Oryzias latipes: one gene and its partners. The protein of the gene in region 1 interacts with the protein of each later gene in a pairwise test. Links are inferred from orthologs where the notes say so. Each region holds a gene or a part of one and is shown in the gene's direction. Other genes may lie near its edges.

What was found.
Region 2: the proteins of ehhadh (region 1) and necab2 interact in binary tests that used the Homo sapiens proteins (3 or more experiments, as listed by UniProt). The two-hybrid records come from large-scale screens. The link is inferred for Oryzias latipes from reciprocal best matches to the Homo sapiens genes EHHADH and NECAB2.
Region 3: the proteins of ehhadh (region 1) and tpp2 interact in binary tests that used the Homo sapiens proteins (3 or more experiments, as listed by UniProt). The two-hybrid records come from large-scale screens. The link is inferred for Oryzias latipes from reciprocal best matches to the Homo sapiens genes EHHADH and TPP2.
Region 4: the proteins of ehhadh (region 1) and cat interact in a two-hybrid assay, tested with the Homo sapiens proteins (2 studies listed by BioGRID, with this or other methods). The link is inferred for Oryzias latipes from reciprocal best matches to the Homo sapiens genes EHHADH and CAT.
Region 5: the proteins of ehhadh (region 1) and ssna1 interact in binary tests that used the Homo sapiens proteins (3 or more experiments, as listed by UniProt). The two-hybrid records come from large-scale screens. The link is inferred for Oryzias latipes from reciprocal best matches to the Homo sapiens genes EHHADH and SSNA1.
Region 6: the proteins of ehhadh (region 1) and kctd6 interact in binary tests that used the Homo sapiens proteins (3 or more experiments, as listed by UniProt). The two-hybrid records come from large-scale screens. The link is inferred for Oryzias latipes from reciprocal best matches to the Homo sapiens genes EHHADH and KCTD6.
Region 7: the proteins of ehhadh (region 1) and actb interact in binary tests that used the Homo sapiens proteins (3 or more experiments, as listed by UniProt). The two-hybrid records come from large-scale screens. The link is inferred for Oryzias latipes from reciprocal best matches to the Homo sapiens genes EHHADH and ACTB.

The regions. Positions count from the first base shown.
Region 1 is NC_019879.2:20,086,573-20,090,728, reverse strand, and holds the start of ehhadh (peroxisomal bifunctional enzyme), read left to right. Parts: upstream 1-1,356; 5' UTR 1,357-1,470; coding exon 1,471-1,544; intron 1,545-2,628; coding exon 2,629-2,732; intron 2,733-3,914; coding exon 3,915-4,084; intron 4,085-4,156. Other genes in the region: tmem41a (transmembrane protein 41A), read right to left, coding at 867-1,030. UniProt on the Homo sapiens protein: Peroxisomal trifunctional enzyme possessing 2-enoyl-CoA hydratase, 3-hydroxyacyl-CoA dehydrogenase, and delta 3, delta 2-enoyl-CoA isomerase activities. Catalyzes two of the four reactions of the long chain fatty acids peroxisomal beta-oxidation pathway.
Region 2 is NC_019864.2:24,684,458-24,688,502, reverse strand, and holds the start of necab2 (N-terminal EF-hand calcium-binding protein 2), read left to right. Parts: upstream 1-1,245; 5' UTR 1,246-1,291; coding exon 1,292-1,618; intron 1,619-4,045. Other genes in the region: hydin (hydrocephalus-inducing protein homolog), read left to right, coding at 1-52, 320-520. UniProt on the Homo sapiens protein: May act as a signaling scaffold protein that senses intracellular calcium.
Region 3 is NC_019861.2:16,578,795-16,582,294, forward strand, and holds part of tpp2 (tripeptidyl-peptidase 2), read left to right. Parts: coding exon 1-71; intron 72-190; coding exon 191-307; intron 308-397; coding exon 398-498; intron 499-574; coding exon 575-671; intron 672-752; coding exon 753-890; intron 891-1,718; coding exon 1,719-1,963; intron 1,964-2,219; coding exon 2,220-2,298; intron 2,299-3,500. UniProt on the Homo sapiens protein: Cytosolic tripeptidyl-peptidase that releases N-terminal tripeptides from polypeptides and is a component of the proteolytic cascade acting downstream of the 26S proteasome in the ubiquitin-proteasome pathway.
Region 4 is NC_019864.2:9,052,832-9,056,331, reverse strand, and holds part of cat (catalase), read left to right. Parts: intron 1-989; coding exon 990-1,120; intron 1,121-1,318; coding exon 1,319-1,426; intron 1,427-3,068; coding exon 3,069-3,152; intron 3,153-3,288; coding exon 3,289-3,354; 3' UTR 3,355-3,500. UniProt on the Homo sapiens protein: Catalyzes the degradation of hydrogen peroxide (H(2)O(2)) generated by peroxisomal oxidases to water and oxygen, thereby protecting cells from the toxic effects of hydrogen peroxide.
Region 5 is NC_019870.2:25,855,134-25,859,300, reverse strand, and holds the start of ssna1 (Sjoegren syndrome nuclear autoantigen 1), read left to right. Parts: upstream 1-1,367; 5' UTR 1,368-2,546; coding exon 2,547-2,598; intron 2,599-3,316; coding exon 3,317-3,516; intron 3,517-4,167. UniProt on the Homo sapiens protein: Microtubule-binding protein which stabilizes dynamic microtubules by slowing growth and shrinkage at both plus and minus ends and serves as a sensor of microtubule damage, protecting microtubules from the microtubule-severing enzyme SPAST.
Region 6 is NC_019865.2:16,433,576-16,437,861, forward strand, and holds the start of kctd6 (BTB/POZ domain-containing protein KCTD6), read left to right. Parts: upstream 1-1,486; 5' UTR 1,487-1,820; intron 1,821-3,212; 5' UTR 3,213-3,273; coding exon 3,274-3,300; intron 3,301-4,088; coding exon 4,089-4,286. Other genes in the region: monoacylglycerol lipase ABHD6-like, read left to right, coding at 204-361, 499-553, 635-735, 923-1,102. UniProt on the Homo sapiens protein: Probable substrate-specific adapter of a BCR (BTB-CUL3-RBX1) E3 ubiquitin-protein ligase complex mediating the ubiquitination and subsequent proteasomal degradation of target proteins.
Region 7 is NC_019866.2:19,166,576-19,170,875, forward strand, and holds the start of actb (actin, cytoplasmic 1), read left to right. Parts: upstream 1-1,500; 5' UTR 1,501-1,569; intron 1,570-2,705; 5' UTR 2,706-2,712; coding exon 2,713-2,835; intron 2,836-2,927; coding exon 2,928-3,167; intron 3,168-3,494; coding exon 3,495-3,933; intron 3,934-4,004; coding exon 4,005-4,186; intron 4,187-4,269; coding exon 4,270-4,300. UniProt on the Homo sapiens protein: Actin is a highly conserved protein that polymerizes to produce filaments that form cross-linked networks in the cytoplasm of cells.

The DNA.
Region 1 (4,156 bases):
GTTGTAATTAATATAGCTTTGATTATTTCACCACATTCAAGTTCACACATGTATTTGGAATTATTCAAACACCTGTAGACCTTTAACTCCTCTTATCTTGATATGGTGAAATCAGAGTTTCTTGATACATTTTCTTTTTTCTTAAATATTTGAACATTGTTTGAGCTTTTTAATTAACCTGTTCCAAGGTTTAGTCAGCCAAGTCCTACTGATTTGTGGTCTGAAATCCCCTATTACCCCCCCTTAAGGCCATGTCAATTTAAATTACAATAGTTGATTATAAATTAAACTTTTTGTGATTACCTGGTACAGTCCATGTCTATTTTTAAACCTATTTTTTAAAACTACTTTTGATTATCTGAAACATTAGGGTTCAGGACAAACACAAAACAAAACCTTAAGAGGCATTTAAAGACTGGGAGACAAAAAATCTTCATAAACAAAATGAAACAATTAACTAAGATTAAAAATAGACAGAAATCGAAATACTATATATATCTACAGATTTCACAAAGAAAATACTGGCTCAAAATCCTCCAGAACCCCTTAAGAATATTGAAATTATTCCATCAAATACCCTTTAGTGTTTTAAATATGCATTTTTTTCATTGTAAGCTTTGCGATGATTTTTTTTCACGATTAAAACCAGCAGACAGTATTTTAGTTTGTTTGCTCCACATAAATAAAAATACACATCCAAAAGACTCCAAACAAAGCAGGAAACAAATAACGTAATCTATACATATGGTGTTGTAATTAAAAGCTGTTCGTACTTATAACACCGGAATTGTGCCAAATACACGATATTACACCCCATAATTCCGAACACAACTGTAATTTTACAGCTAGCGGCTAACGCGGGTCACCTGCTGGGCTCCGGAGAGGAGTAACGGGGCTCCTTCGCTTCATGTTCACCTTCACTGTCCAGCTGGGGACTTCTCGCAGGTCCGGCCGGGAGATACTGCGACAACGAATACAGATACAACGTGGCTGCCGTAACAACAGCAATTAACCCGAAAAGTGACCGCATGATGATGAAAGTAGTCCTCAGTTCTGCAGAAAAATACTTCTCCCAGCTGTTCCCGGAGAACAACAACGGCTAACCTCTGCGGTGACGTCGCATCTCCGCCCCCTCCTTCTTTAATTTAGGTCAGGTGTTAGTCAAAAGACCTTAATATCATGCATTTTACGTTTATTTTATTTTTTTACTCTTATAAAAAAATGTTATAATGCCGTTCAAAATAATGTTTGTGTTCAGATCCAGTCCGCGAGGGGGCGCTATGACTCTAATTGTTTGCCGCCTTTAAATTCTCAAATTTTCTGCACGAAGAAGTATATTTGTACGGTATTCACGGAGGGACAAAAATAAATGAAAAGCGATGTAGCACTAACGGATTTGTTTCAAAGTCCACTTACTTCGTTTACGGTGAAGTGCGACTAGTTATCAGTTTTAATCATTAGTATAACATCATGGCTCAGTACAGTCGTGTTTCGGGGACTGTTGGCCTGATTACGCTCCTAAATCCTCCTGTTAATGCACTCAGGTAAGATCACAAAACAACAATGCGACAACACTTTTACTAATTGATAGCTGTCTGTTAGCTATGGATTTTTTGATTAGTATTTCATGTATAAATTGTACATTGTTATTTTATAAGCACATCGTTTGAAGTAAAATATAAACTTACTGATTTAAAGTTTGAGTTAAACTTTTAGATGTTTACTTTGTTCTTCCTAAAACCACAAGGGGGCGGTAGAGGTAAGTAGGACAGAGGCCATTGAAGCAGATGTTTTTCTGTTTGGTTATCTTCTGTCTAGATTTGTGTAGATATATTGTCAGGTGTTATTTAGCAATAATAAAAAAAAAAAATCAAATTTCATGACAGTTTTATTTGCTGCAGACAGTCCTGAAGTTAAGTTTTTTGCTTCCACTGTAAGCTTTTTTCTTAAAATGTTGTTTATTATTAGAAAAATAAGTTTTTGCCTGCCTTCACCCTGACCTGTATTGGTTTCTACATTGCACTTCTCCTGGCATATCAGACCAGCCTATCAGACGAACCTGATGGACTGTATCTACCAACAGCCTGAGAGATAATGCATCACAGCAAAACACTGCAATTAATCATTTACTGATGGCTGTCTGCCTAAAAGCAAAGGGTTTTCGCCCAGAAATAGCACACAAGCTGTTATATTCAGAACTAAAACTACTCAACGCAAAAGGTAGTTCAAGGCAACCATATTTACAGAAGCACCTTCTTTGAAAAATGCACGTTATGCTACATTTTCTTTGTTCTTGTTTTTTTCTTATTTCATTCTAAGTCTTTTTTCCCCTCTGCTGTCAGTTGCTATGGTGACAAACAAATTTCCCACGTGTGGGATCAATAAAGTATTTCTGATTATGCTTGAGTAAAGGTTAACTTGTTTTTATTTATTTTCATGTCAGATGTAAAAAATAAATAAATTAATAAATTAAAATCAATAATATATCATTTCATTTTTGCAAATCTCATTCGTAATTCCACTGCTGGTTCCATTGGTCCTTACTTAGACTCATTACAATCAGGCCCCATCAGGTTATGGTGGGTAAAGTTCAAATTGATAAACATAATATCCTCTTTTTAATTGCAGTGCAGCAGTAAGGCAAGGTATTGTGGACACGATGGACAAGGCCCTGAGCGACCGAAAGGTGAAATCCGTGGTCATCTGTGGTCACAATGGCAAATTTTGTGGAGGTGTGTACCTGTACCTTAACAGTGGTGACACAACTGAAATGATTCAAGCCTTTAAAATATTAAAACGTCTGATGATTAAGCCTTTATGTCCTTTTTATTTTATTATTTTATTAATGCTGTTTTTTTTAGAACTGTCCTGATGCTGGAAGCACACAGTGGATTAAAAAAAACATTTCAGTTATTGGTCTAAATTGGAATTGGAGTAAAAGAAAAACATACAAAAATGATGTATTAAAGATGAAACATATTCTTAATGAATGAATTGTAATCTTATTGAATAAACTGATTAACAACTAATAGCAAGAGTCTGAGAAATCTCACATAACCCATTTTAAAAATCAAAAGCAAGTACTTTACTACATGAATCTGGGTTTTTAAATATTAAAACTCTTTCATGCTCTTCTCTCATACTAATGTATGCTAAAAAATGTATTGGAATTTGGCGAAAATAAACAAAACCAATTTTTATATCACAGAAAAAGCCATATGGATGGTCAACCATTCAACAAATGATCAATCTACTAAACTGTTTTTTTAATTATTATATCTAAAGCTCTAATGTTTACAGATGTCTACAAACTGCATCGGTAATGTAGTAACGTTAAAATAAATTATTGCCAAAAACATATTGTGTTTGTTTGAAACAAGAGAATCTCCGGGATTTGGATTTGTTTAAAAAAACAGAACGCTTTAAAAAATAATCCTGTGGAATAGTTTTACAGAGATGATCTCAAGAGATGTAATTCCATATCATATTTCAGTATTTTCAGATTCTGTTCCTAATGTTAACATTTGTTCAACAAATTCTAAAGATTTTTTGTTGAAATTTACAGGTAATTAGAGTAGCTGTGGCTTCAACCTACACTTTTACAATGAAATTTCTTTTTGTAGTTCTAATTGTATATGTGCAATTATACTATACATCATTTTCAGTATTTTACAATGAAATGTTATTTGCAAACAGCTGCAATGAAATAAATGAATCCAACACCCAAAAAAATGGATGTCTATATAAGGCAACTTGAGATCAATGACTCAATTAACTGTTAGAAAAAACGCCAACTAAGTGTCAGTCACAATAACAAGTTGCACAATTTTCTATGTTGATATTTACTTTCTTTTGTAAAAGTAGTATTTTTTTCACACGGTAGTGTCTTAATACTTCTCGATTGTGCATTTAAGGGGCGGACATCAGGGAGTTCAGCTCACCTTTGACCGGTCCTCCGTTGATCCCACTGATCCAGGGCGTGGAATCAGCAGCTAAACCGGTGGTGGCGGCCATCGAGGGGGTCGCTCTGGGCGGCGGCTTGGAGTTGGCGCTTGGATGCCACTACCGAATTGCACACTCTAAAGTCAGTCTATGCTTCAGATGCCAGTGCTGAGCTGCTGTTTTTTCAAAACATTCTAGGTTTTATTTTTTTTTG
Region 2 (4,045 bases), on another chromosome or scaffold:
CACAATCCCCTTCAAGAACGTGTTCCTGCAAAGCATTACATTCACTGCTCAGGTAAAGAACAGGCAGACCTTGTAAAAGGAAGTCTTCATATTAAGAACTATGACCTGTTTACTTTCAATAGAAGATTTTTTTAAATTATTCATAAGGGCTGCAGCAGCACCCAGCTCATTTATATTTAGCACAGTGACTTACAAAGTGCTCCAACCCCACTTTACATCTAACTTTTCTATTGTTATGCTGCTTGAGTTGCTGGATTCCCAAATGAATATGCCTGTAAATGTAGTAACCTGAAACTGACTGGATGTTCTGCTGCTTTAGGTGGACAACCCCTGCTTTACTGTCAAAGGACCAGACAACATCAAACCAAAAAAGATTCACAACATCCAGGTTTCCTTTGAAGCTCCTGATGGAGAGCCTGGAAGGGAGGCCTGGTTCGGAAAGCTGACCGTTTCCAGCGAGCGCTGCGAGGGACACAGCAAGCCTTGCTCATGGGTCTTTTACCTGAAAGGATCCCAGTGATCATAAATAACCACAACAGGAAGCAGCTGATCCGTTTTTATTATTTAGTAACTGTTATATATGAATTTAATTAGAATGACGAAGCTGCAATACTTTAAAGCATAAACATTTTCTAAATGACTTAATAAATTCTACAAAGTCCTTCCTGTCGATGCACTCTCATTTCCACAAGGGGGCAGTAATGTCAAGTAATCTGATCAGAGTTCTGCTGCTTGTCTGATGGAGGAAAGACACATCATCCTCCACAGCTGTTTTGTCATTCTGTCAACTTTCCTGCAGGACCTCATTTGTCCTGATCTTCTTTTTGTTCCGTTAACTCTGGAAAAGGGCAGACCTGGTGGAGTCAGTCATTACTAAAGGTTAAATCTGTCACATCACTCATGCAGGACACCCTCTAATGAGAGGAGCTGCGTGAGGAAAAACTCTCTGATGCTCCTTCAGGGATGCAGAAATCCTCCCCCTGGAATACAGCCAAAGGACAGAAACTGTTTGCGGGATGAAACACCCACAAAATATTTTTTGAAAAGGAAAAAAAAAGTTCTGACGTGCATTTGAAATCAGCCACATAACGCATGATCTGCAAAAAAAACGCGCATGGAAAGTGAGAAGTTGAAGCTTCCACAAGGTTTTCTGTCTCCTGAGTGGGTTTGCAGGGAATGTGGGGTGGGTGTGTTTTGGGGTGGGTGTGTGATGTAAGGAGGGAAGTGGGGTGGGTGGGGAGCTCCTCTCTCTCCCCCATAGAGCGCAGCATGAGCGCTCCGCAGCAAAAGGATGTGCGAGCAGGCAGCGCGTTACTGTAGGGACGGAGTCCACAAACTGCTCAACAAAGAACAAGCCAAACTCCGCGCGCAGGAGAGCCGCGAGCAGCCCAAGCCTTCAGCCGGTCAGGACAGCGAGTCCGCGACGGCAGCGCAGTCCGGAAACAGCGGCGCCCAGCCCGGTGGAATCGACGGGCTCGTCCGCTGGATCGTCACCAAAATGAGCGACAACAAGAACATCTCCAGCCGGGAGTACGCCTCCAGCAAAGAGGAGGTGGCCGTGGCCCAGGAGCAGTTCTTTGCCCCGGAGCCACGGAGAGGCATCTCGGTCATTCTGGATGTAAGTATCAGGCTGCATGGGGGGGTTGGATGCGCAGGATCCAGGGAGCGGTGCGCGCCGTGCGCACTTACGCACAGACAAGAGCGAGGAGTGGAGACTTGGCAGGAGGTCTGCTGGTTATTTGACACTTTGGTGGGTGTCCGGGATGAGGCTGGCGCCTGAACTCTCCACTCTGTCTGCATCCTCCACCAAACCGCCTGAGCTGTATTCAGTTTATAAACTTCGAAACAGATTCCTTAAAACAACAACAAAAATCTATTCATCAGTCAGTTAGATGGTTCACTGATCCACTTTTGGCGCAATCTTTAATATAGGTCAGCTCATCAATACCCGCAGATCGTTTGTCTCCCCCTGAGATCTTCTAGTCCGGCCTTAATAGAAGACAAAACAAAAGAGAAACTAGATCAGCTTCTGCAGATGACCTGAATAAAGTTATGACCAGAGGGCCAATTCAAATTTCATGTCACATTATTCTAGATTTTCAAAAAGTTATTTCTTGAGAGAATCCCTACCAGCAAACTAAAATTGTGTGTTTGGATACATGAAAAGATTCCTGATTTCTCTCCTGTTTTTGTTGTTCATTATTTCTGTCGTTTTGTATTTATGCCTCTCAGTGACAGTCCGCTTTGATCTCTAAGCCTGCAACTCTTCCTTCTCTGCAGGATCTGACTTCAGCTTTGAATCATTTTAGCATTTTCTCTCCTTCTTTTGCACATCACCCCGAACTCTAGAATGTTAATGATTTTGCCATGTTCCACTCTTGCTGACCCCGTCATCATTATCATGGTGGAGAAGTGAACATTTGATTTGCACGCTCACACCTGCATCCAGCTGTCTTTTTTTCTCCTACGGTCTGCTCTTTTCTTCTTCCCCTCCTTTCCTCATTTGTCCTTTCCTCCTGTTTTCAGAGAAATCCGTTTTAATAAGGTTTCAGGCATCGTCCGGCTTTTTCCTGTTTATTCTTAATTTTAAAGAAATAGTTAAGCCCTCACAGTTTTGCTGGTCCTCTGTGCTGTGAGCCACCGCCTCCTTAACGCGACACTCTTTTCCAAGCTCCTCTGTTGCTGGCTCTTGTTTGTGGGGCTGAGTTGGCCCCATGGGTGCATTAGAGGAGCCGAACAATGCAGAGCTGCTTGTCATCTGAAGCACAGCTCAGTTTGGCACCAAGGTTTTGATCTGTTCTACAATGATGCCTCCAAGACTGCACATCTTATTTAGAGCTTTAGCTGCCATAATGCAAAAACCTCTTAATGAGTTTCACTGCAACAGAGGAAGGAAATAATTAAACATAAAACAGCTTTTATGCAAGTTTTTTCTGCAAAATCCAGAAAAAGGAAACATTTTGATGAGAGATTCCATCAACACCAGTACTGTTATTGACAGAAGTGACTAGAAAACGATCATATTCTCTCATTCATATTTAAATAAAACCAATAAATTATTAGCAGCTTGTCTGTTTTGTACCCTTTTAGACATTAGAGGATCACAAAAATCATCAACGAATGAAGGAAGTCTCCATTTAAGAAGCATTGAAGCTTTTTGCTGCAGTTCTGTCAATATTTGGGCTCATTTTTGCTTCTTTAGAACACACAGCTGTGATGCAGCAATACCTTGTCTCTTTGGTTACAGAATTCAGAAACAACACAGGGGTCCTTCTTACTGTATTGTTGTGTTTTTGCAGCTGATCCTGAATAGAAAAGTAAATAGGAAAAAAAAGATGACGCAGACAGACGAGCAGACAAGTTCTTACATTAAAAGTAAAAAATGCTGCAATCTGGATCTCGTCTTTATGAGCTGTCTTCTGTCCGACCTCCAGTTCCACATCCTTGTGTTTCTCTCCTTATCAGAAGTTCCAGTTCTGAGCCTTTCACTTCCAAACAGGTCAAAGCTTTTACTGCAGCTATAAATTAGCTCAATGTGGAGCATGCAGTGAGTCCTCATCAGTCTGGTGGACATCATCGGCTCTGTGCTGCACCTTATCCCTCAGCCTCAGTGTGAACTGACAAACAGAAAAGTCTGGGCACTGAATGTTGGCTGACCAGCCGCTAATTACAATCCAGATTCCCTATTTCTACACAGAATTAGTCACTCCTCGAAAAAAAAAAAAAATCACAACATTGCATGTGTTTTACCATCTGTCAGCTCTCTTCTCACTGTGGCAATGAGGGGTAAATCGACTTTCAGCATCATAATCTGAGGGTGTTAAAGTTGGATTTAAACAGAAATAGGTCCAAAGTGTTTGAGTTTTAATCCATACCTTTATTGGATTAAAACATTCCTTGGACAGACTAAATGTCTAAAAGCTTTCACCTACTTAAATCTGTAAATCTGTTGTATTTTCCATTACCCAGAAAGCACGTCAAAGTCCTTCTGGGAAATGGAAATATACTTTGGTTTTCCTTGAAGCTGTTCAGATAACACTCACAC
Region 3 (3,500 bases), on another chromosome or scaffold:
GAGCGAACGAATTCTACAAGTTCTCCTCATTGTTGGAGAGAGGATCTCTAACAGAGGCTTTCCCCGTTTTGGTATGGAAAAAATATATATTTGATGATTTTTACTTGGCTCTAAAGTTGAGCTTTGGCTATTTGAGAGCTTTTAGGAAAAAATGTTGCTGAATTTTCCTTGTTTTTTTGTCTTTTTGCAGTCGGGTAGGGTTGTGGAGCTGTGCATAGCTCGTTGGTGGGCTAGTCTGGGAGACGTCACTGTGGACTACAGCATCTCGTTCCATGGCCTCTGTGTTTCTCCTTTGCCGCTCCACATCGTAAGAACTTTGCGTGCATCAGTTTAACCCAATAAATTCCCCATCAGACAATTTAGGTTTGTAGTTAATTGTTGATGTGGATGTGTTCAGCACGCTTCAGAGGGAGTGGCTAGTTTTGACGTGTCTTCGCCTCTACGGTATGAGGAGGTTTCTCCCTCAATCACCCTTAAATCATGGGTACAACCTCTGAGGTGAGTGATCGCCCATCCACACACACAGTTAAAACACAACTTCAGTGTTATTTGATTGGTGTTTCTATCATTTCAGGCCTTTGAGTTCAAAGATAAAGGCCTTGGGAATGCGAGATGTTCTACCCAATAACAGACAACTCTATGAGATTGTCCTTACCTACAACTTTCACCAGGTACTTTCTGACACAAAGCGTAACAAATGCATGTTCTGGTGACATTATGCTTCCAAATAATCTTCTTTACTGCTCTCTAAGCCTAAGAGCGGTGAAGTTACGCCCAGCTGCCCCATGCTGTGCGAGCTCCTATACGAGTCTGAATTTGACAGTCAGCTGTGGATGCTGTTTGACCAAAACAAGAGGCTGCTTGGTTCAGGAGACGCCTACCCGCATCAGGTACACTCACTCCCTCGCTCTACAGTAAACCCTTGTTTTTCGCGGGGGTTACGTTCCAAAAAGAACCCGTGATAGGCAAAATCCGTGAAGTAGAAACCTCTATTTTTTTTTCAATTTTAATACAATTAAATAATCTATTATACATTAAAAAGAAAGAACAAACCATTTTACAGGCTCAAGCATTTGTTTCACAAATAAAAGTTCTTTAGAAATGTTTTTTTTTTTTTCAACAAATAACTCTGTACTGTACTGTCAAATAATAATTTTAATCATCAATGTGAACAGAAGGCTTCAAATCGCGGAGATTAGCCCCGCCCACCGCAACCCGAGAGTAATTGAATTAAACGGGAGAAAATTTAAAATGATTATGAAAAAAATACAAAGTACATTGGGACAAATAGCGACTCAGGTGTATTTCACTGCTCTAGCCGCTGCATCCTGACTCCGCTCTGCAGTGTTTTCTTCTTTTGAAGCCCTCGGTGCAGCTGTGTTTGTTCGGGAGAAGAACATAGTGATAGGCAGTTGTTGCTCTTTTTTCTATGGGTTTTAGAGAAACTCGAAATTGCAAGATAATTTGCACGTGCGTGCTGTAAATTTGGCAAGCTGTTTTACGTACGTGTACATATTAAACTGCAGCGTTATTGACGCACAGGTAGAGAAGAAGCGGAGTGACTTCTTAGCCAATCAGAATGCAGAACACAATGCATGATGCAAATCCGTGAAGTAGCGAAACCGTGAAAAGTAAACCGCGTTGTAGCAAGGGATCACTGTATTACTGACAATTGGTAGCGTTTTTCTAACGTGTCCCTACTTTTGTCGCTCCCCAAGTATGCGCTGAAGCTTGAGAAGGGGGACTACAGCGTTCGCCTTCAGGTCCGTCACGAACAGTCCAACGAGCTGGAGCGCCTGAAAGACCTGCCGTTTGTGGTTTCTCATCGTTTATCCACAACCCTCAGTCTGGATATCTACGAGACCCACCGGGCGGCTCTCATGGGCAAGAAGAAGGCAAACTCCGTCACTTTGTGTCCGGGTACCACACATCCATTTTACATCACTGGTCTGCCAGATGACAAGTGAGTGAAAGGGTTTGGTTTCTTGTTTTTCCGCTGTTATGTTGCTCATAAGCACTTCTGTTTAGAAAACCTGACAGGACAAAGTAAACGTCACAATTCGAACGACTAAAGCTCTTTTTCAATTGATTTATTCTTTGTTATTTACATTATCATTCTTCTTATTCTCTGTGTCTTTTACCTTTTTTTCTTTTTGATTTTTGTAGTCTTTTTGGTTTGATTGCTTGAAATAAACCATTTATAAATCCAAATTTTTCAGGATTCCTAAAGGAACAAGTCCAGGCTGCTACATTTTGGGATCTCTCATTGTGCCTAAGAGCGAGTATGGCAAGAAAGCAGTGAGTAGCTGTTACCAATGGTCTCTTTTCTGTGATCAGTACTTTTGTTCAGGGAACTAAAAGGGAAAAAACAAACAGGCAAAACAACTTTTGCACAGTATAACGTAGTTTTAATTTGTAACTATAGAAATAAAATAGAACATTTTTTAGCTAATTTATACAAACTATGCATATTAAAACGCAGTGTGGAGATGTACAGCCTATATAAGTCCAACCTGCGTCTTTAGTATCACTGATTCTGCAAGTTTTCAACCTAAAAAGCTAAGATTGGTATGTAATGTTCATTTTAGAAACACTTCAAATCTGAGAGACTCAGGAAAGTCCACTGTATAATTTCTAAAGAAATGATTTGTGTAATGGAGCATAAATTAAAGATTTGGCTAAAAACAAAATTTAACTGCAGTACTTTGTAATGTAGCTTTGACTGTCAATGACAGCAGTCAATCATTTCCTTTAGGTCTTCAGCTGATGTAGCTGCGGTTTTGGTCCATTCATTCATGCAGATCTTCTCGAGAGCTGTGATGTTTTGGGCTTGTTGCTGGGCAACACACATTTTAAACTTCTCCCACATATTCTCTATTAGATTGAGGTCCAGAGACTGGCTAGACCACTCCAGAACAGCGAAATGCTTCTTACGTAGCCTCTCCTTTGCAATGTGTTTCAAATTATAGTCCTGCTGGAACATGCAGACATGTTTAATCCTCCCTGATTTTAGAAGGTTTTTACCGCAAATCTTATTGTGCATGACCCAATTTTTAAAGGGGACAGTTGCCTGTCCCGTTACCATTAAAAACAGCCCAAATGCATGATGTTTCCACCCTCATGTTTGTGGGTAAAGTGTTGTTGGGATGCATTCTTTCTCCTCAAAACACGACGGGAGGCGTTCATACCCTAGAGTTCCATTTTTGGTCTCGTGTGAGGCCCTATGGACCACTGCTGGATTTGAATCCATGATGACGTTGTGTTAAAAGGGTTCGTTTTTTTAAGTGAAAGACGTTTCGCCTCTTGTCCAGGAGGCTTCTCCATCCAGAGAGCCAATTTTACAGAATCCATGATTTTGAACTACTGTATTCACACTAACAAGCAAGAACAAACAAAGCGTTTGTGAACCAAAGGAAGCCATGACACATGGCTGATCACATGGCATTTAAACCACCAAGTTCATTTTAGTTGTATCCAAAAAAGGAACAGTAATTTTACAC
Region 4 (3,500 bases), on another chromosome or scaffold:
TAAAACAGCTACACAACAAAAACCATGGACAAAAACGCACACTTAAACCCCAATCTGCCCAGATATGACGTCATGGTGCATTGACACCAAAGTTACACCAACTTAATTCAATTAAGTTGATTGAAAGTAAAATAACTACATCAGACAACTACGTGTTATTTTTAAGTTGAATGAACTAAAAAAAAAAAGATTCATTTTTCACCAAACCAAATAATTAAGTTAGAACAATGGAAAAAAGTTCATCTTTCCAACTACAGCCTAAATACTCTTTTTAGATTGTGCAGCAAAATGTTGTAAACAGCTGCCTAACAATATTATTGACGCACTCCTTTCTTTGCAATGCCTAAATAATACTAATAAAATACTTTTCTCTATATTTATGAATTTAAAAAAAGGAATAAACTTTTAAATACATGTTTAAAATTTTAATCTTACTAGAAGTATACAATTAGACAATATCTTTTGTCGTAAAAAAGGAGCCTTTCCTTCTGCCCGCTTCTTTCATTAATTTGAACACACACAGACAGCCAAACAGCATGGATGTCACTTCTGCTTCCAGCCCTCTCACTCATGGTTTTCACACCAAGATTCCCCCTTCCCATGAGTCTTAGGGGCTGAAGGCGGGACTAACCCCCAGGATGCTACAATATTTAGAAAAATAAAAATTTGAGAGCATGCGGGGCAAGGAATTGTTTAATCCACCTGAAACAAGAGAGATAAGAAATCCAGGACGCAATACTTAAATCTATATATTACACCTTAATTATCCTTTTAAGTTTAATTTACTTAATTTAAACATATTTTATTTTAAATTAAAAATTATTAGTTACATATACTCAAAACAGGGGATGTGTTAAACAAACTTTATATGATTGAGTTAGAAGAGCTTTTTTGAAAACTTTGAGTATTAGCTACTCATTATATTTAATTACTTTGAACGTTCGGGTTTACAGTGTTGATGTGGTTGCTTTGCTCTGTCTGACCTCTAGGTGGCGCTCCAAACTACTATCCAAACAGCTTCAGTGCCCCAGAGACCCAGCCTCAGTTTGTGGAGTCCAAGTTCCAAGTGTCTCCTGATGTGGCGCGGTACAACAGCGCAGATGAAGACAATGTGACTCAGGTGATGAAGAGTCCGGCCTCTGCAGAGCCTTTTCCCTTCAGTCTCTCCACGACATGAATGAAACCTGAATTTAGATTTTCATTTACAACTGATTTATGATACAGATTTTGAACTAAAGTTTCCATGAAACAATGAGAGTGAAACAGCAGAACCTAGATCTTCAGATTGCAGTGACGGTGGTTGATCTGTGTGCTGCAGGTTTGTACCTTCTTCACCAAAGTGCTGAATGAGGACGAGCGCCAAAGGCTTTGCCAGAACATGGCGGGGTCCCTGAAAGAAGCCCAGCTCTTCATCCAGAAACGCATGGTGAGTTCAGGCTCCATCAACTCTGTTAAACTGTGAAAAGAAAAAACTGAAAAAAGTTAAGCAGCCATTTTAGCAGCTGCATTTGTTCACTGGGGGGGTTGTGGTTAAATGTTCCAGCAACTCTGTTTTTGTGGTTGAAGGTTTACTGTCGGGTTTGAAAAAAAAAAGAGGGTCTGTGACACACAATGAAACTGATGTGGCTGCATGAACACCAAAGTATTGAAACAAGAGTTTTAAAACCATTTAAACTTTATCCTAAAGGAAAGTAAAAAATAAATTTCTGCCTAAAATGTGTTGAAGCATAAGTGTGGTTAAAATAAGAAAAACGAAGGAAGTTTGACCAAAATTATCAGTACGTTTACTTTTTAATTCTCCTTCTGGGTCTGCTGCTGTTCAGCTGCTGCAGCTCTACATGGGGATCTGCATCACCGCTGAGCTGTGGTGGAGCGGTCCCCGCCTGAGATGCTGCTTCTGGCTGGTTATGCAGCGATTCACTGAGAGAGAGGTTCCAAATATGAGCCTTTCCAAGAACAAACCTCTGGTTTCACGCTCAGACTATTTATCATTGTCTATCCCCATCAGTTATGGGGTGGGAAAGGGGTGGGTGGTTGTAGGTCTGGGAGGGGGCTCTATTTTATTTTTTGTGCTAGTTTTTAATTATGTTAATTTAGTTTTGTTTTAATGTACAGGAATTGGTGTTATACTCTGATAGGAAAAGTTATGAATTAAGTTTGATCTGATTTGAAAATGAAAACACTTGAGCTCACAAGAACATATTTGTTCTCTCCTCTAACTGCTTAAATTTATTCATGCTTCGTGTTCAAGTCAGACCTTTCCAAATACGCACTCACTAAATTACGAGTCCTTTTTCTTTTACTGTATTTTTCAGAAGCTGTAGCAGCCAAAAGATGAATAAAAACAAATTGTGTACAAGTGGTGTCTGAGTATGAGTCGCACTTCCAGCCACTATGCAAAAACTAAAACATGATTTATTCTCTGAACAATCTGGTAACCGCTTCTGCTGGAGGATCAAAGCTCAGTGTTTCATTTCAGAAGAAATCATGAACTTCCTGTCTGTGAACCACTTAGTCTCTTGGAAGACGTGCAGCCTGCTTTCAGGCAGCAGGGCTGTGGACTTCAACAAGCTCGCTCCTGATCAGCGAGAGTGGTTGCCATAAACGCAGACTTGGACCCATCACCGCTTACCGACATCCTCGGGCTCCAACATGGCGGTGTCCGCATCCCTAAAAAATGCAGACTGAATTGTCTTCATTTGTTTGAAGCTGGAAGTGAAGCGTTTTCTACGGGTGACGTCACTAACTCAGTCCAGGTCTCATGAACAGTCCGTGATTCCAGCCTTACCTGTTATTTTCAAGGGTAGAACATAAAGAAACGTTGTGCCCCGGGTTTTCTTACACCAGTTTTTTAGACTTGAATTTGTAGACCTGAGTCTGTAGACCCTGCTTTTATTTTCAGTGTTTCTAAAATGTTAACGTTATGGTTTTGATCAAAAAGACAAACGGTTCATAAAATAAATGAGCAGCAACAAAAATGAAAGAACCACAGAAGCTTTTATTCTTCACTGTTCTCCGTCTACATTTCCCATCTATTTATTTTTTGTTTTTGTGTGTTTCTCTTGCAGGTGGAGAACTTGAAGGCCGTCCATCCTGACTATGGAAACCGTGTTCAGACCCTCCTGGATAAATACAATGCACAGGCAAAAAAGGTACTTTTTTATTTTCTCTAATAATAATGGAAAAGGATAAATATCCCGTGGCTGTTCTGCATTCATTGCTGAATTTTTTGTTGTGCAAAAATGATTTATCCTGCTGCATTTTGAACATGTGATCTGTTTATCTCAGAGCGCCAGTGTGCACGTCTACAACCGTCCAGGAGCTTCCGCCATCGCTGCTTCCTCCAAAATGTGAAGCTGCACCTCCTCTTCCTCTAACCTCAGAGGAACTCAGAATCACCAACTTCCTGATGGAACGAGATTTGAATGAACCTGCTAACAGCTACGGCTAATCACGTGTGTCTTTGCTAGCAGTTGATTGTCTGTGCAGCTCAATGCTGT
Region 5 (4,167 bases), on another chromosome or scaffold:
AATCCTTCTTGCATTTTTGATCACTGTTTAAAGTCTCTCTGACAGAACATTATGCTATAAGAGGTTTGTGTTTTGCTAATACAGGTGGATGACATCTGCCTGCAATTAATGAAAGATCTTCTGTTGCAGTTGTATTATTTCTTCTTGTGACCTTGCCTTTTACAGGAACGTGGACAGGACGCCTGTTCACCTTATCGATGCACCAAACAGTTTATTGTTTTTATGTTCTTGCTTTACATTTAATTCGTTTTATGTGTTTGTCCTGGAGCTTAGCCCCAGGCCAAGAGAGGGAGGTAGACAAAAGAGGTCTTAATGATTAAAAGAAGGACATTATTTTATTATCGTTTAAATGTATTTGTCTAGAAAGAGATTGACCATTTAGAAAGAATGTTTAAATAGTAACACAGATTGACCATTTTTAAAAATTTTAAAGCTTTGTGTGTCTGTTCATCTGATTTTCTCTCATCCACAGCAAGGATGAGTAGGTTCTACGACTGGGTCATTACACAACAGCCCATAATAAACTTTTTTCTTTTTTCTTGAATTTGTATTTTCCCCACTTGTGTTCTTCATAAAACAGCACGAGGGGAAGCAGACCTTTGAGAAGAGAAATGTGGTGGACCTTTTCCATCATATTTTCTCTTACTGCGCATGCGTAAATTGATTCTTGTCTCATTGTCTTTTGTGTTTTATTGTTTTTTATTTTTTAATTTCCTGACCCTAACACTAACAAAAACTTAGACCCACAGCAGAATCATCTTGGCAGAACAGTACCACAGCAGTGGACACCCCAAGTCCTTTTGCAGCCGTTCTGTTGTATCAGATGTGTCAGATCTCTAACAGGCTTATTGAGAAGTCCATAGGAGGCCAGGTCCAAGCTTGCCAGAGCTTGTGGGACATGCAGAAGGAGGACGCGAGTGTTCGAGGCCCGGAATGACCTTTTTTGGACTTTGTTACATTTTATAAAATTGCTTACTGTTATGTTTGACAATTTTCTTTTCTCTTTTCATCGTCTGTGTGATTTTGTTCTGCTTTAACATTTCTCAATTCCCCCCCTTAATTCTAGGTGTTTTCTTTTCTTTATAGGAAGTGTTATCTTTGTTGTATTTTTTACCTTTTTACTTTTATATTTTGACTTTTTAAATTTGAATTTGACTTTTATATTTTTACTTTTTTAAACTTAAGTTTGACTTTGAATGTTTTATTTTTCTGTACTTTTATATTTTGATGATGTGTTTTTATTTTTTGTGTGACCTCACTTCGTGAGGTCAAGAGAGGGAAACTGAAGGAATTTATTTTTGTGGTTCTTATTTCTCCTAGGTTTTTATCTTATCTTTATTTCTTTGAAGGTTTTCTTTCAGGTTTACTGTGTGTGGGTTTCAGTCATTTCAATTAAAAGGGACTTCCTGATAATTGCATATGTAAAGAGGTTTCAGGAATGCAGCTCCAACCTCCAACCCCTTCAGGAGAAAACGGTCTTTGATCTTCTGGGGCCATTTGGTTGTAGGTCTGACTTGGATCATAAATCAATCATCTCAATCCCTGGGAACCGCCACAGGCATCTGCTCCCGTGTGGGGAACAAAGGTGTATTGTCTACTGTATGTTAAGAAGATCCGGCCACACGTGGGGGCCACCTAGGGAGCCATTTGGTTGCGGGACCATGTCAGTCTGGGAGGTGACTTCAGACGCGGGAAAACGGATGCTGACTCCTAACATGGACTGACAGAAGTGGGCAGGCTCCCTGCCAGCCAATCTCTAGCGACCAGAGGCGGAGATTCGGCGGCCATCTTGCTCCCGGGGGAGGATGTTCTGCCCACATGCTTAAAAGTCTGAACTCAAGGAATTTTCCTGTGTCTCCAGACAAGCTGCATGTGAATTCGGAATGTAACCTCTTGCGTATTGCAGGCCTTGATTTTGGACACCCAGATCGATCTGTTTTATTCTGTTTTATTCTGTTTTTACTATGTTTTTAGAAATATTGTTAGGGAATAAATTTGTTAATCTTTAATCCGGACGAATCCCGTGGTTTTCTTCTTCTCGACTTTATTGGACATGCAACAAAGGAAAGTAATCTCAAAGCGACAGATTATATTTTCCAACAACAGCTAATAATGAAAACAGTTCATTGTTGAAATCAGGTTAGTGAAATCCATAGAACTGGGTAAGGGGGTTCATTATAAAATTAAAGCACGATGTATCAGATTTTAAATGTTTGATTTTCTGAACCCCTGTTAAATGAAAAGCCAAAGCAGCCGAAGCAAAAATACGTTTCCACTCGAGGGCGCCACCACTATCCCGTCCGTCATCGTGCATTTAAATTAACCGCAGAAGAAGTCTCCTAATCTGACCGGGAAATTGCTCCAGCCCCGCTGTCCTGAATGAGGAGGGGACCTTGGACCAGCGGAGGAGGCTGAATCTGTCCGGACGTTTTCCGCCTCTCAGCTCAGAGGCATCGATGGCGCGTTAGCTCGTCGCCCGCACCGAGCATCGCTAGGACGGCGGGAGAGTTCAGAAGCGGCCGTTACTTTGCTAGCTAGCAGCGGACATGACTCAACAAGCTGCCGCCCTGCAGACCTACAACAACGAGCTGGTCAAATGTGAGCGATTTTCCCACTTTCCCTTTTCTAAATAGACTTTAAAAAAAAAGTAGGAATATTTTTTTATAATTATTTGTTTTTCTCAGATATATAAGTAACGTGGCAGGTTTTGATGACATGTTTCCCCTATTAGGAGACTCCTGAATTAATTTTTCCATAATAATCCATCGAGTTTTGTTGTTTTCCTCTTTTTTGTCCCTCATTTATCAGAAAGTTTTGCACCACCTCGTTAAATCCCAAAGATTATACCTTCACCCAGTTTAACCAGGTTAACTCTCTGACTTAATGCAAACGTAAATGGCTGCTTTTATCTTCAGCACGTTGGACAGTTAGCTTGTCGATTATATCCGACATTTATGTCTTTATTTACCCTTAAAAATAGGTGTGCTTTTGTGGAAAATGTGTTTCAGAGATGCACAAATCTGGCTAGTGCTAAACAAAATGTTTTGTGAAATTCCTTTTTTGTTTTTTAACGCAATCAATATTTGTAATATCCTAAAATCAAATCAAAGATTGATCCAGAATTGTTGACGGCGAAGACCTTAGTGTAAAGCATTCACAATTCTTATTGCATCTTTTTTTTTTCTTACGTTGAATTAAGAGTTTAAACGAACAGTAAATCCTTTGATACTGTGAAGCGGTGCAGGTTTAAGGGTGTTTTTTTTGGGGGGAGCAGCAGCAGACCCACAGAAACTCCACCCGTGCTTCTGCCCCTCAGGCATCGAGGACCTGTACTCCAAACGGGAGGAGCTGAACCGTCAGATCAAGCTGGAGGAAGAGGAGAAAGAGCGGCTGCAGCACGACATCCAGATCCTGTCGGAGAAGCTGAGCCGAGTGGAGAAGAGTCTGGCTCAAAGGCTGGCCGCTCGGGCCACGTTCGACCGCACCATCGCAGAGACGGAGACGGCGTACACCAAGGTGAGCCGCCTCCGCATGTGTGCATCTGCAGCCAAACCCCTTCAGGTGTTCACATGTCGGTGAAAAGAGCTGTGAAAACCAACAACTATGTGACAAAATATTAGAGTAAACATATTTTTGAAACCTAAACTCTTCTGCCGGAGGAGAAATGGGACGACAATTTCTATTTGAGAGGTTTCCTCATTTTAATAACCAAGACTGTCTTTGTATTTAGTTTTGAACTGATTTAAAACCGAAATGACAGGAAGAGGAGGCACGAACCCCAAAGTTAAAGATCCACTCTGATGAAAATTGTGTTTTTTTACGTTCTTGTAACATTTATCGGATGGACATGTTTTAAAGAAAATTAAGCTTAAAACTGTTTTTCTGTGTATTTGATTACTGAAATTGTTGTGAATCAAAGCAGACATTAAAAAAAACATCTTATTTTAGATGTAGAAAGCACACTGGGTGTGGACGGGCATGCCTACAACCCTGTCACGCTTTTATCTTCACCGTCAATAAAGTTTATTGAGTTTAGCGGAAAACAGCCCGAGCACCGGAATAGCTGAAGCTCATTTCATCCTCGGATTCACCTTTTCATCCGCCCTGTTGTGAAAAGGATTCTTGATAGTTGTCTTCTTCCCAAAGTGCTGTGAGAGGCTGCAGAGT
Region 6 (4,286 bases), on another chromosome or scaffold:
AATCTTAGAAATTGTCAGTGCCCCTTGCAAGGCATAATATTTTATTGAGACCATAATTTCATTCCTAATCCATTATTCTTTTGAGATTTACAGTTGTATTTATTTGTACTTTTTTTTTTCTTTTCTACCAAACAGCTTCCAGGTTAATTTCTTGAGGAAAAAAAATGTTCAAACATCAGTTTACAATAGTTTCTCTGCTGCAGGAATTAGACATCCGTGTGAGACCAAGTTTGACAATCACTTACAGGACCTGGAGCACAGCAATTACTCACTGAGCATCCCACTGATCCCGACCACACCGGAGGAGATGGAGGACATGTTCAGACTCTGCTCCCACGTTCGTTTTAGAATTCCTCAACAGGTCAAGTCCACACCTGTAACACAAGTTTCCCTTTGTGTACTATAGACACCAAAAATGGACAATCTACGGGGAAATAAAATCACAAAAATGTTTGCTACATTTAATGGATACTTTAACCTTATTTTTTTATTGTTTAGATTCTTCAAGGATTGGTAGACGTCAGACTGCCTCACAACACGTTTTATGAAGAAGGTGGGATTTGTTGTAAAAAAAATAATTATTACTTTTTTACTAAAATAACATGAAAATAAAAACTTTTTTTCATTTCTGCAGTATTTATGGAGATTGTTAGTGAGAACTCAAGATATGCTTTGCAAGAGCACCTGCATCTCATAAATGCCCCTCTACAAGTGATTTGGGGTAAACAAGATCAGGTAAATATCATGTTCCAATAATAACTTTGTTTGGTTCAATTTAGGTGAGTGTTGTGATGATTTATTTATATATTACTCATTATATATTCATTAAGGTGTACCAATATGTAACATAGAAATGTCAGTTTAAGACAACAGTTGACTTTATTTGTAATGAAATGCCAAAAGAGATTGCCTTTTGGTCCAGGTGGTGGATGTCTCCGGGGCAAGCGTTATTGCAGAGCTGTTGCCTGGCTGCAGGGTAGACCTGCTGGATAACTGTGGTCACTCCGTGGTTATGGAGAAGCCTTGTCGGACAGCCAGACTCATCCTGGAGTTCATTATCTTGCAGCAGAATGCCAGAGGTGGTACCAAGAAATCGTCCTGAATAGAAGATTAAGGGAACAGATCAAATATGTAGCCTATGTGAGGAAGAAGCACAGAAGTAGAGAAAAATATGAAAAATGATTTATTTGTTTTGTGTCTCCAATTTGACTAATAAAGTTGGATTAGATATGATGTGTGGTCTTTTGTTTACCAAAACTTGATCAATCTGCTTTTATGCTGACAATTCAAAAGATATCTGCTTTGAATCTGTAATAGCCCATGTCTACATTTTTATTTTACATTTTATTTTATATTTTCATTTATTTAGGCATTCGCCGTTTTTTATTTTTTTGGTCAATGTTTAAATTTACATAGAAAAATCATCAGTCCTTTATTGTGCCACCATAATGTATTGAGGTGTTTCCCCGCTTTGTTTGGTCATTTTGACGCGTAAAGCGCATGGGTTGGACTTGGAGGAGGAATCCTTGCGCTCCTGATCCCATGCTTGGTAGGCCTGTGAATCTGTGAAGTGCCCTGTCCATGGATGCGTGGATGAAGCAGAGGAGGCTGTAGCTGCAGCAGGACCTCCTCCCTCCTGCTTTCTCCCCCCGTCAGTGTGCGCAGTTCCGCTGCAGCCTGAAGCAGAGTGCAGCTGCCCGGTGAGACAGACCGCAGGCAAGGATCCTATCAGTGGTCATTTGATCCACCGTTACTGGAGAACAGCGGGGGAGTCTTTCTTAGGAGCCATTCAGGAAGGAAAAAAAAAGGCGCTAAAGCTGGTGAGTCTTTGCTTTATTGTCTACCTGGTTGGTTGATTTGTAAACCATCATGAACCTCAGTAGAGACCGCAGCTAACGTTCTTGGATTGCTAGCTGCTAGCATGCTAGTTAAAAGAAAAACCTAGCTGCTAGCTTTCACACTTACACGTATGTTTGATGTCTCAACGTTAGTATTCACGGTTTATTTCACTTTTTTTCTTCAGAATTGTACTTAATGTAAGCTTACAGAGAAGCACACTATTACCTCTAACTAAAAGCTTGTGTTATTTCTTCTGCCGGCTTCTCTCATTTATTTATGCCTGCGCTGCAGTCAATTACACAGTCACTTCGATAATGCCAAATAACCAGGAGTCAAGATTGGCTTTTGTTTTTCAGAAAACAAATAGTTAACTCTCTGTCACTTTAGTCATATATTTAATGCTTTGATTTTGGAGGATTCTATCCATTTTATTTAGAAATGACCAAAACATATGGGAACCTTTATCCTAACTGTAACACGACACTTCTCTTCTTTTTACTGTAGTTTTGTCCGATTAGGATTAGGTTAATGGTTTTCCTGTTTCTTGCTTATCTTGTCTTTTGCAATTTTTTTCATTCTGGCCTAATGATCCCTAGACTAAATCTGGCATGTTTTACATCAGTATTTGTTGTTATTAATACGTATAATAAACTAATGCAGTAAAATATTACTTGGGTTTTGTATATTTATTTTTGTTTTTAAAGCTTTAACACCCCCCCCCCCCCCCCCCCACACACACACACACAAACACATTAAGCAAAATCAAGCTCACTGGGACATTATTAAAGACCCACTCCAATGAAAAATGCACCTTTAACATGTCCTTTTGGCATCTTTCTGATGATGAAGGGGATATTTAAAGAAAATTAAGCTTAAAATTGCATTTCTGAGTATTTCTTTAATCAAATTTTGGGGAATCAGGAGCAGAAAAAAAACGCATTTTGAAAAAGATCATATTTGTGACAAAGAAAACACAATCGGCCGGCCATAAGCTCCCTGCTCCGCTCCATTCTGATGCATCCACTTGCAGACCATAGACCCATTTACGTCTTGTTTTCCTCGTCTCAGCTGGCATCTGGCTCAAAAAACCTTTTCCAAAATGACACAGGTTTTTATTTGAATTTTCTTTTTTATTTAGGCTAAAAGCAGCATAATAATAATAATAAAAAAACACTAAGAATGCTTTAAAAAAAGATCAAGAGATGATAGGAGTGGAACTTTAATATTGTCTGATTATGTAAGTAGTTATTGCTACAGAAAGCATTACTTGAGTTTTAATGCAAACTTCTCTCCCATTCTGCTGACAAGTTTTCTTAGTGCCTCGTATTAATGTAATTATTTTTCTTGTGCTTGTTTTACTGGTCCAAATAAAGGGAGTCTGTCCTGATCAAGTTCTCTCCCTACTTTGGTTTCAACCTGGTAGAAATTCTACAAATGGATAATGGAGACTGGGGCCATAGGGTAAGACATAGTTGAAAGTCATAATCATTTTGCCTTTCAGTTCATTTGTTTAACCAGAACCGCGTCACAGAAGAACCAGTCTCAGCAAACTCTACAGAACTTCTCTTTGTATTGATTTCTCATTTCCTCTGTTGGGCATCAGATTTAAACATTTACATCCTCACCAACTGATCAGATATGTAGTTGTGTAGTTCTTTTTCATTTTCAGCAGCAGTGGCACATTTTAAAGATATTCATATTGGTCAGAGACATACCGATGGAAGTAAACAAATGCTAGGAATGAGTTATTTAATGCCAATTCCTTATATTCCCCTTATAACCATTTATGCTGCAACGCCGAAGCAACTCTGCAGAAGACCTTACATCAATACTAATTTGGCTGTTTCTCATTCACCTTCATTTGTTCTTGTGGTGGGGTAACCTAGGTTGTTGTTCCACACTGACAACAAACACCACAATGATAAATGAAGCTGACTTTCTGGACTTTCAATACTTTACATTTATTGAAAGTCAAGTCAGAAACTTGCATAGTTTGTGAAAGATATCATTTGGTGTTAATTTCAACATTGTTCATGGTTTTAGATGCATCTTAAACTGTGTACTTTTTACCAAGCTGTGAGTGTTTATAAGATTATCAATTGAATGAAACTATTCTTTCAGTTTGTGTGCCAAAAAGTAGTTGAGCAAACATTAGTTCCTCTCAGATGGAAATAATTTCTAATAAAACGTTTGCTTATACAACACTCCAGTGTGTGAGCTAACAAAACAAACTCTGCTATCCTCTCTAGATGACCACTCCTGTTACCTTGAATGTGGGAGGCCACTTATATACCACCAGTCTATCCACCCTGCAGCGTTATCCAGACTCCATGCTGGGAGCCATGTTTCGGGGGGATTTCCCTACAGCTCGGGACGCTCAGGGAAATTATTTCATTGATCGAGATGGGACACTTTTCAGGTACATCCTGAACTTCCTGAGGACATCT
Region 7 (4,300 bases), on another chromosome or scaffold:
TTTATGAGAGATTTAAAACTCTTACATAAAGAATTATTTACATACAACTCTCGAGAGAGAACTGTTTCACCCCACAAGCAGAAGCTTTTATTTCAGCGGGTTAATAAAACAAAACAAAAATGGACATTTAAAAGTTAGGTCTGCTGATCAGAAATGCAAGAATCTGCTAATTCAGAAGGAAATGAAGCATGTTTTGTTTGAAACTTGATTAAAAAGCTGAAACGTTTCCATGTATAAAGTGGAAATGTGTTGATGAAAATAAAGACCATTTAAAACTTAAAGCCACGAATGAATTGAAGGAAGAGGAGATGGCATTTAGCATAAAAGAATTGGTGTAACTGAGAGCGAGGAAGAGGAAGTGGTACAAGAGGAAGAAAAGTAGTTGCTGCTTGTGTCTCGCAGACAGTGACATGTTTAAATGGCCTCTGGGTTATTTAACTTGTATGGGCAGCTATGTTTCTGGAGCAAAAAAAGTTTAAATAAACTGTGAAACTAATGAATGGAAGACAAGTAAGGTAAAAGCAAAGAACCCTAAGCCTATAAAACCCAAAGTCAGGAAAGTTACACCCTTTGCAGTAAACCACAGAGAGGAAATAAGAGCATGTGTGACTTTATTTGTCTCTCTCTGAGTTTAATCGATTAAGGTGAATGTATAGTAGCGTATGGGTTGGGTCTGACAGTGGTTATTTTCACTCAATAGGTCATTTATGACTAAAAGTAGATGCAAGTCAGCCTTAGTGTCCTCTTATGTGGACCTTTTTTCTTCATTTGTAGGGGAAAGAGGAAGTAGCAAGAGCTCTGAGAAGTTAACAAGAATCCAGACTAATGCCATACATGGTCAATTGGTATTAGTGAGATTGAGTTTTTACCATTGCTTAGTGGGAAAAGTGGTTATTGTCCATCCTCTGACAGGGCACTTTTACAGTCCATAGTGTCTTTTGTGAGTCATGTGTTTGGCTTGGAGGGTCTCTGACTCCATCTGAGGTGGCATTCTGCTTTCCAGAGTGTGCAGCAACATCCACATTGTAATTGTCCTCAAATTGCATCAAACATATCTTGCATTTCCAGACTGAAATCTTGAGAGACAGGTTTTAAGAGGAAAAGTATTCACAGGGAGGAGCAGCCTGTGCTCTGCTGTTTGAATGATCAGATAAGCAGGGGGACTTGCTCGAAAGCTTTATACAGGTTCATATTTTATATATATTTGAAACTTTGTAAACTCTATATGTATTAATATTTGTTCAAGAAACATTATATCCTTAGATTAGGCCTCACATCAATCCCTATCCTTTTATTTTCCCCCAGCCCGTTACTGTTATCGCCTCCCTCTTTCTACGCTCAGTGCACCACAGCGTGCACCCGACGTGCCCCAGTGAGTGACGCTGGACCAATCACATGCCGCGATTCCGAAAGTTTACCTTTTATGGAAAGAGCCGGGCAACGGACGGACTATAAATACCACGTGCCCACGGCTAGCAAATTCACTCTGAGCGCCGTCACACACAGCTTGTGCGGGATATCATTCGCCTGAAACCGATTCCCTTGAAACGAAAAGCCCCCCACCCAAAGGTAAGATAGAGACGATATTTGGTTTAATTCAAATGTTTTGGAAACCTTACGATTGTTTAATTGTGCAGTTTAATTCTTAATTGGAGGTGACCATTAGCAGAATTTTGTGGCCACTAAATTTATTTTTAGGCCTGAAATGGTTAAACTTTTAATTATCTTTTTAAAATTGACAATTTTGTTTGTTTTGGCATCAATCAAGTTGTACCAAAATTAGCCACTTAAACGCACAGGTGCCAATTGATTGTAACCGGCAAATGGCTTTTCAGTTTGGTTTTAATTGTATATTTTATATAAGCAACTAAATAAAAATTACTATTCGTATCTTACATGGTGGGGGGAATTTTTCGAGTCCTTCTACGGACGTTACCCGTCCGAGTTGAGGGTGTCTGGATCCTGGCGGGTCCCTTTGTGCGCCGTTACGGGGTGTGACCTACTTTAGCATATTAGCCTAGCTTCATGCTAACACGCCCTTCTAGACTTGACTCTGATTCCTCACATGTAGGGGGGTGGGACTGTTATACATTTGTTTGTATAAAATGTAATAACCCTTAAAGCATTTTAAAAGTATTCGATTAAATTGAGCATGTAACTGTAGTTTGACGGCGAAGAAAAGGGCAAATGACAAATCATTCATTCAAGAAAAGGCGTGGCTTTCAGGAAATGATTAATCAGTCATGGGCTCGCACACGTTTTAATTTCCTTCTAAAGCTTGACGGGTCGTGGTGCTTTATGCCAGCAACGACTTCGCACAAATTATGACGCAGTGATTAAGAAATTTTTCAGTCTTGTGCAACAATGGGAGGGAACGCTGACAAAGTAGAGCTGTAATGAACCAGTGGGAGTAGGCTTTCGTCGCCGGGTCCGATAGTCTAAAGTCCCTCCCCTCTTGCTGTACTTTGGCCGCGTGCCTTGCCGGTAGCCGCAAAGCTGCTCAAAACCGAACTATGTCCTTATATGGTAACAAGAGAATGCAGCACCACTTCCTTTTGTCTGGGCTCGGAATGTAGCGCTCTACCTCCACCAAGCGGACACTTTGGGGAACTGCCGCTCCCTGACAGGAAATGGGACATCTGACTGCAAAGCAGATGCAGATGGGCGTGTCTTTGGTGTTAACGCCTTATTTGTTTGTTTTCCAGTTTAGCCATGGATGATGACATTGCCGCACTGGTTGTTGACAACGGATCTGGCATGTGCAAAGCCGGATTCGCTGGAGACGATGCCCCTCGTGCTGTCTTTCCCTCCATCGTTGGTCGCCCCAGGCACCAGGTTAGTTCCTAACTGTTTACCTTTATAATTTTTTACTATTTAATTTTAAAAGTTTCCAGATTTACTAAATGTAAATTTAAACTTTTTTTCAGGGTGTCATGGTGGGTATGGGCCAGAAAGACAGCTACGTAGGTGATGAAGCCCAGAGCAAGAGGGGTATCCTGACCCTGAAGTATCCCATTGAGCACGGTATTGTTACCAACTGGGATGACATGGAGAAGATCTGGCACCACACCTTCTACAATGAGCTGAGAATTGCCCCTGAGGAGCACCCTGTCCTGCTCACTGAAGCCCCCCTGAACCCCAAAGCCAACAGGGAGAAGATGACCCAGGTACCCGTTTACCTCACAGTGGAGCACATGTATACTCTTTTCACCTTGGTTTCCTTCTGTTCATACTTCCTCCATCCTCCTCTTCTAGGATTTCTTCCTATAAGATGAGCTTTCATCAAAAGGTCTATTGACAGTTTGCCTTGTATCTGCACTTGTGTTTTGAGGCTTAGAGTAACAGATCAGCACCTAAAAATGACATGCACAAGTGTGAAGGAATGTTTACCATGTACTAACTATAGATCGAGCCCCACTTTAATGCATGTAGCGAGTGGAGTGGTCGCATTGCTGCTTTGTAACATGCTAACATTGTGCTTTTTGTCTCTGCAGATCATGTTTGAGACCTTCAACAGCCCTGCCATGTACGTTGCCATCCAGGCTGTGCTGTCCCTGTATGCCTCTGGTCGTACCACTGGTATCGTCATGGACTCTGGTGATGGTGTGACCCACACAGTGCCCATCTACGAGGGCTACGCTCTGCCCCACGCCATCCTGCGTCTGGACTTGGCCGGCCGCGACCTTACAGACTACCTCATGAAGATCCTGACGGAGCGTGGCTACTCCTTCACCACCACAGCCGAGAGGGAAATTGTCCGTGACATCAAGGAGAAGCTGTGCTACGTCGCCCTGGACTTCGAGCAGGAGATGGGCACCGCTGCCTCCTCTTCCTCCCTGGAGAAGAGCTATGAGCTGCCTGACGGACAGGTCATCACCATTGGCAATGAGAGGTTCCGTTGCCCAGAGGCCCTCTTCCAGCCTTCCTTCCTTGGTAGGTACCTCAACCAAAGACTTGTGTACAGACCCCAGAGTGCCCCATGCTAATATTTAATCTCCTTCCAGGTATGGAGTCCTGCGGTATCCATGAGACCACCTACAACAGCATCATGAAGTGTGATGTTGATATCCGTAAGGATCTGTACGCCAACACTGTGCTGTCTGGAGGTACCACCATGTACCCTGGAATCGCAGACAGAATGCAGAAGGAGATCACAGCCCTGGCCCCATCCACCATGAAGATCAAGGTGAGCTTTCTGAAGAGTCTCCCGTCTGGATTGTTCCTTTGGGGAAAAGGGGCTCATTCTCAACTCTCCTCCTCTCCCTACAGATCATTGCCCCACCAGAGCGTAAATACTCTG